Rattus norvegicus: one gene and its partner. The protein of the gene in region 1 binds, or shares a complex with, the protein of each later gene. Links are inferred from orthologs where the notes say so. Each region holds a gene or a part of one and is shown on either strand. Other genes may lie near its edges.

Region 1 (3,814 bases):
CCTAGCTCCTCACACGTACGTTAGTAAATAGTCTAGGATATGTTCTATGGTAAAGCATTTGCCTAGCATGGTCAGGGCTCTAGGGTCAATCCCTAGCTACAAGACAAACAAACACACAAAAAACAAATAAGCAATCAAATAAGGACGAAGTGTGAGCCCTGTTCTAATGCCACTCAGACCTCTAGAGGATCAGTCTACTCAAGCAGTGCCCAGCATGTGTGCGTGCACATTCACTCAGATACATTACAGTAAAGTCAGACATAAACCTTAGGGAACACAATATACTTCTCACTTCTAACACCAGTCCTCCCAAGTCACATCTAAGTCAGCCAACCCTGAGACTACTGCTGCTCCTGTGGTTATCTGGGTTAAATAATAGCATGATGCCCCCTCTCCAGCTCTAACCAGCAAAAGTAACAATGATCTCTTCTTCCAAAACATGGTTTACACACCCAACAATAAGCACACAAGGACATATGGGAAAGGAATATGAATATTGGGGATTTATGAACACTGTAACACTTTCTGAGAACAGATTGTTCGCTAGTTGAGATTGAACTGGAGCTAGGAGCTCAAGATGCCCAACTTCCCCAACCACTAAGTAGATATACTCTCCTAATTTTTCACCCTGAGAAAAAAAGATATTTCAAGGAAAACAGAAGTGACTCTGAGTGTAGCTACAAAATACAGTACCATAACTAGAAATAACTAGAACTGCATCCCTATCCAAAACAGGAAGTCACAAAGGGTTTCTAAAGTCCATCCAACTCAGATCAGTAACAAATCCCTTATTTCTTAATCAACATTTATAATATTCCTGGAACAGTTCACCGTCAAGTGTAAACACTGGACAGCCCAGGGCCAGTAGCATCTCATTAAGGATCTGTAGGCCTCAGTTGCAACCATGCCAACGTCCTACCTGCAGGTCTGATGGAGAAAGGGTTACCTGATGCCGACGGGTGAGGGTGCCGTTGGCCATGAGTGAGTTGGCATCTTGTGGTGAGACCCGGACGCGTTCCAGTTGCGCCGACACATGGCGCCGCTCCTCCTCCAGCGCCCGGGTCAGCTTCTCAAATTGTGCCTCTTGTTCTTTCACAGAGGCCAAGATGCTGGCGGTCGACTCCACCTCTGAGTCGTCCATGAAGGTAAGGGGAGGAGCCGCCGCAGGGCAGGATAAAAAGTAAGGTGGACCACAGAGGGAGTAGAAAGAAGGGAGTAGGTCCCCTCACTTCACACTAGGGGTGGGGGGAGGGGTAAGAGAGAAGAGAAAAGATCACAGGTCAGAGAAGACAGAAGAATTGTTAATCCCCAGCGCCAAAGATGCCCTCTGTGTTTTTACTGCAGTGCAGAAAGCAAGCCACCACCAACCAAGCTTGGGAGCCCATCACCAAGGTCTGTTCCAATAGGAAGGACCCTTCGCCTACTTCCCTCTTTAACACTCTACGAACTCCTTCCTATTGAAAGAAAAGGTGGCAGTTTGACCAAAGTCTCTATACTATTGGCAGGACAGAGACACCATAGCGTGGGATTAAAATTAGATTGTTTTTCTCTGGAAATATTTGCAGGCATCAGCTTAATAAAAGTTAACTCCCGGGTACAAGGACAAGTTACTTCTACAAGTAATGGACAACGCAAATTTTACTTAACCTCTCCCAAACCTGAACACTATAAATGTAGCTGTAGTGATAAATTATAATAAATGAAAATGTCAGTTAAGAAATGGAGATATTAGCTAAGTGGTGGAGGTGCATGCTTCTAATGTTAACACTTGGGAGGCAGAGGCAGGCAGAGCTCTGTGAGTTTGAGGCCAGCCTGGTCCACAGATAAAGAGTTCCAGGACAACCAGGGCTACATACCGAGAGAAACTCTGTCTTGGAATAAAAAAAAAAAAGAACCCAGTGAACTAGTCTATGGGGGGAGGGCGGCAATGGGGGGAGGGTTGGGAGGGGAACACCCATAAGGAAGGGGAGGGGGGAGGGGGATGTTTGCCCGGAAACCGGGAAAGGGAATAACACTCGAAATGTATATAAGAAATACTCAAGTTAATAAAAAAAATTAAAAAAAAAAAAACAATATTTCAATACTCATGCCAAAAAAAAAAAAAAAGAAAAGAAAAGAAAAGAAAGGAAGGAAGGAAGGGGGAGAGAGAGAGAAGGAAAAGAAAAGGGAAAAAAGAAATATAGAAGAACTTCCCAGATAGAAAGGCAAAAGAACTTAAACTTCCATGTCTCACACATGTGTAAAGAGGCCTTTCTATCTCACAAAACTATACTACATGATAGAGGGCAAAACATGCTAATGGGAACAACAGTGACAGAACCTCAGACACTGTACAAAAAGGCTTTGCCTCAAGCCATCTGTGGTGCAGGCCTGCAACCCCACCTTCTCAGAAGGTGGAAGATCACAACTTCTGTGGCTAGCCTACATAAATTTGTGGCCAGCCTGGGCAACTTAACAACATCTTGTCTCAAGTTTTTGTGGCCAGGTGTAGTAGCTCATAGCTTTAATCTCAGCACTTGGGAGGCAGGTGCAGATGGCTCACTATGAGTTCAAGGCCAGCCTGGTCTACAGAGCAAGTTCCAGAACAATCAGAACTACATAAAGAAATCCTGTCTCAAAAGCAGGATAGATAGATAGGTAGGTAGGTAGGTAGGTAGGTAGGTAGGTAGGTAGACAGACAGACATATAGATAGATAAGACAGACAGATAAAATGTATACTGTTGAATGGCAAACTAGGAGGAATTTTTTTCTCTCTTATTCCCTTAACTTCTCACCAAACACCTAAGGGAGAAAAAGGCACCTAAAATAACTTTTAATTCTTAATATATATTCCATACACACCTGTTAAGAGAAGGCCCGTAATTGATTGGTTTAGCACAGAGAATAGCCCAGTCTAGATTCAGATAAACCATGGAAGCATCCCAGCCACCTCAGCAAGCAGCAAGCAGGAAGGAGAAAGCTGCAGAAATATTTGGAGGAAAAATGAGAATGGGAAGAAAATAAACTACACCCACTGCATACATATAAGAGGGTGACGGGAGTATTAGAAATGAAAGGGGGTTATTTAAGAAACAACTTGGAGTTGCTTAATGAAACAAATACCCTTTAAACTTTGCTGTGTTCAGATATCTAGGCTTTGGATGTAGGATTAATTAAAGCACAGACTGCACTGTCACTGCAGTTCCTCTACTTGTAAATCCACGCAGAACCAGACCAGGGTACAATGTAGATAAAGCCACATAGGCAACTGATTTGGGGGTGAAATTTGTTAGAATGCCCTTCCCCCTCCTTCCTACCCTTAAGGCAGAAACCTCAAAGCCCAGTTCCAGCATGCCCACAAAGACATTGAGAAACCAATGTAATAGTCATGGGGGGGAAGACATGTGGGGACTAGCCTAGGCTGGGCCTTCTGCTCAGGCTCCGTTTCCCACGCTTCCCAGAGCCCCACCAAACACAAAAGCTAGGGCCTGTTTGCCTTAAATGTATCCGGCATTCAGCAGGCAAGAGTACCTAGAGGAAACTGATAAACAGGTGCCCAGTAAACTGAATTGGTTCAGTCACTAAATCCGAGAACACATTGAACTGTCCCTAAATGCGTCCTATACCCAGTCCTAGGCTCCCACAATCATTTATCAACCACTGTTCTCATTCAGCCCAATACCCAATGCCCCAGTGCCACTTTCCCATACTCCTACTCCACATTCCAAATGGCCACTCAGAGGTCTTTCTTTAACACATTGTTTTTGGATTTTTGTTTGTTTGTGGCAGTCTCCTAGGCTGGCCTCAAACTCACTATAAAGCTGAAGCTGGCCT
Region 2 (3,814 bases), about 96 Mb from region 1:
GAGAATAACAGAGAAACTGTGCTAACCTGGGCCAAGATGGTCCACAGCCTTGATTTTTTAGCACCCCTTATTCCTGAATATAAACAACACTCCTCATAAACCTGCATTACAACTTTATTGACAGAAGAAATGTCTGTAACCTTTAAACCGTACTGTAAATTATACTATCCAAACAAGCGCCTTAGGAAAGCTCCAGGATCTGATCTACACCCCCAGGCTCCTGCCCATACCTGCCTATACATACACATGATACCCACACGACCCAACTTAGACCCGTAGGATCCTGCCTACACCCACAGGATCCTGCCTACACCCCCGGATCCTGCCCATACTCACAGGATCCTACCTACACCCCTGGCTCCTACCTATACTCACAGGATCCTGCCTACACCTACAGGATCCTGCCTCTACCACAGGAACCTGCCTACACCACAGGATCCTGCCTATACCCACAGGATCCTGCCTACACACAGTATCCTACCTACACCACAGGATCCTTCCTATACCCACAGGATCCTGCCTACACCACAGGATCCTTCCTACAACCATAGGATCCTGCCTACACCACAGGATCCTGCCTACACCCATAGGATCCTGCCTACACCACAGTATCCTACCTACACCACAGGATCCTTCCTACACCCACAGGATCCTGCCTACACTCATAGAATCCAGCCTACACTCACAGGACCCTGCCTTTGACTCATCCATGATCCTGAAAGAACCCTCTCCTTGTCAAGCTGGGCTAGGGTGAACTCCTCGCTTTGGCCTGTTACTCTCTCTAGCTGGGATAAATAGACATTTCTTTACATCTTCCCCACAGAACATCATGTGGTGACGTACTCTAGGGCTCTAGATGGCTCTAGGACTCAAAGAGCACCCCTCACATTGTTACAGCCGTGGCTGCTGTTCACTCCAAGGACAGGGACCCAGGTGAAAATTAGGAGAGAGAAGAGAACAGAGCAGGTATCTCGGTGTGCAGTCATCTTCCTCCATGATGTCAAGAAAGTCAAGAGTGACAGCAGACATGTAATGCTCACCCAGCCCTCATGCCCAGAGTCCTTTCTGGAACTTGGTAAGTAATCCGGGCTGGTCTCCCACAAAACACACTCCAGTCTTTAGGCTCTCCAAGTGTCACTTGAGATTTCATGACCCAGTGTCCCCACCCAAAGTCACACTTTGCTCCAGTCTGGGTTAGCCCCCAACCCATACAAACCTTCCTCCTGCTTTATCCTCAGCATCCAAATCTCTCTCACATCTCCCTGGTCAGAGTCCAAATCAAAAGTAAAGGGGCCAGCGTAGGGGTCCAGGTCTGCATCCTCGGCTTCCAACAGCAGGGCCTTGTTTCCAGCCGACTCACAGATCTCCAAGTGTCGGGAATGGGGCTGGAGAATTGGAGCATTGTCGTTGACATCATACAGGAAAAGCATCAGAGTCCCCGTGCCAGTCAGTGGGGGGAGGCCTTGGAGAGGACAGAACCCAGGCAACAGAGGAGGTCACAATATTAAAGAGAGAGGGTGGACTTGACCTTACAGAAAAGCAGCATCAGTAGTTCCTCAAGTGCCTATAACAGTCCAGAGTCTCTCCATCAGGGTGTGGCCCTGGTGGTGGACACCTCCAGTGCAAGTGTGTACACACTCATGCACATGTATTCACACACATACACATACACTCACACACACTCACACACACACTCACACATGCTCACACACACATGCTCACACACACACTCTCACACATACACTCTCTCGCACACTCACATGCATACACAACTCACGTACACTCACACACACACACATGCTCACACACATGTAACACACAACTCACATATGCTCACACACACATGCTCACACACACAACACACATACACACACACTCTCACACATATACTCTCACACAGACAACTCATGCTCACACACACACATGTTCACACACATACAACACACAACCCACATATGCTCACACACACACACATAACACACATACACACACTCACACAGACACTCAAACACACACAACTCACACATGTTCACACATAAACATACACACATACACACTCACACACACTCACACACACTCACACAGACACTCACACACACACAACTTACACATGCTCACACACATATACACACATACACACACATACACTCACACACACACTTACACATGCAACTCACACACTCACACTCACACACACAACTCACACACACACACACACACACACACACACACACACACGTAGCAGTATTGGGCAGCACGAGTTGTTCCTGACGGATTTTAAAGGAAGAGATAGGGTGTAGAATCCCATATCCTGTCTCAGTCATGGTACAAGCTGCAGAGGTGCTGGGAAGGATAAGTGCTGTAAAAGGGGAGCATAGGGGATCCCCAGGGAAGATGAAGTCAGCTCTGGTCTGCTAGGGACATTGCCTATGAAGACAGACTACACTGTTTTATAAAGCGCACACTGGGGAAAGCTCGGGAAAGCGTGTTGGGATGCTAAAACCACAAGTGAATCTACAAGGTGGCTGGTCAGATATTAACAGCTTGTGGGTCACAGAGCATGGATCTTCCCCTCATGGTCAGCAGCTGGTAGAAACAGGAACAGAAAGGCAGGACTCTGGCCTCAGGTGGAGACATGGCAATCAATCAAACAGTCTGTTCATCAATGCTACCCACTAAAGGTTTTCTGGTGAAGATCAAAGAACTGACAGACACTGGGAAGGGAAATGCCCCTCGGGAAAGGGCCTCCTTTAGAGACTGTAGGAAGAGTATGAAGCCTGACTAACAGTGAAAGCTAATGGTGGTCTCTCTGGCCATGGACCTCTCTCCTCGCCCCATAATATGCTTTCCTCCTCAGTGGGCCACACTACCACTGTCCACTCTCATTCCTACAGGTGCCCACTGTCCTCTATAATAAACTCACTTGTCTCTGTACCCCAGCACCTCTGAATTATTCTGGCAGACTGGGGACCCCAACGGAGGGCAGGATAGGATCATGGCGACAAATTTATGATCATTCAGAAATCACCTCTTGTAATTAAAAGTAGATCATGGGAATCATGAAGCCATCCCTCACTGAATCATGGAACCCTGAGTGCCAGGTTGGCCGGCTTCCCTTCCTGAGCATGGGATAGCATCTCAGGTCCCTAACATTCTGTCAGATAATTATGCAAATGGGCTGGGCAGGCCCACAGCGCTTGGGGCTTTCATCCACGGACTTCTTTAAGTACGGTTCTTAATGTTACTTGAAAATGTCCACACATGCAGCTTTATGTTTGGACGCGTTTAACTTCAGCCTTGTGGGAATTTGGAGAAATGTGCTAAGACGTGTTTTTAAAATCACTCGTCCTGGTTTATGACAAATGCGTTCCACTCAGACACATTTGCTGGAGCTTACGAGCCGTCCCAGGTACGGGAAACTGCTAAATATTTATCACACATCGTTGGTCTTGACAAAGAGCTACTGCATTATCTTCCAGGCAGACAAGACGGGTGGGTGTGATTGCCGACTCCTCGCTGGCTTAATTGTCTCTGCTGAGTGAACGCTGCCCCTCTTTCAGCAGCATCAGTCCCCGGTTTGCCATTGCTGGAGTTATTATCAAAAAATAATCTCTAGCACAGAGGCAAAGCGAGAACAATGTTTGTTTTATAATCTCCTCAGTGATGCTAAGAAATGGCCTCCCTCAGGAGGCCAGAACCAGCACTGCTCATCCCCAGCCTTGACTCGCACTCACCGTTGTCAATGGCATGGACGACGATTGTATAGAAGCTGCCATTCACATGAGGGGACTCCCGGTCTATTTGCCTCTTGGTG

The links.
Region 2: Ctnnd1 (region 1) and Cdh26 share a complex: the UniProt entries of both Homo sapiens proteins name them as parts of the cadherin:catenin adhesion complex. The link is inferred for Rattus norvegicus from reciprocal best matches to the Homo sapiens genes CTNND1 and CDH26.

What each region holds. Positions count from the first base shown.
Region 1 is NC_086021.1:90,113,512-90,117,325, forward strand, and holds part of Ctnnd1 (catenin delta-1), read right to left. Parts: intron 2,961-3,814; exon of another isoform or gene 2,843-2,960; intron 1,236-2,842; 5' UTR 1,142-1,235; coding exon 947-1,141; intron 1-946. UniProt on the Homo sapiens protein: Key regulator of cell-cell adhesion that associates with and regulates the cell adhesion properties of both C-, E- and N-cadherins, being critical for their surface stability.
Region 2 is NC_086021.1:185,929,140-185,932,953, reverse strand, and holds part of Cdh26 (cadherin-like protein 26 precursor), read right to left. Parts: coding exon 3,735-3,814; intron 1,463-3,734; coding exon 1,217-1,462; intron 1-1,216. UniProt on the Homo sapiens protein: Cadherins are calcium-dependent cell adhesion proteins. They preferentially interact with themselves in a homophilic manner in connecting cells; cadherins may thus contribute to the sorting of heterogeneous cell types.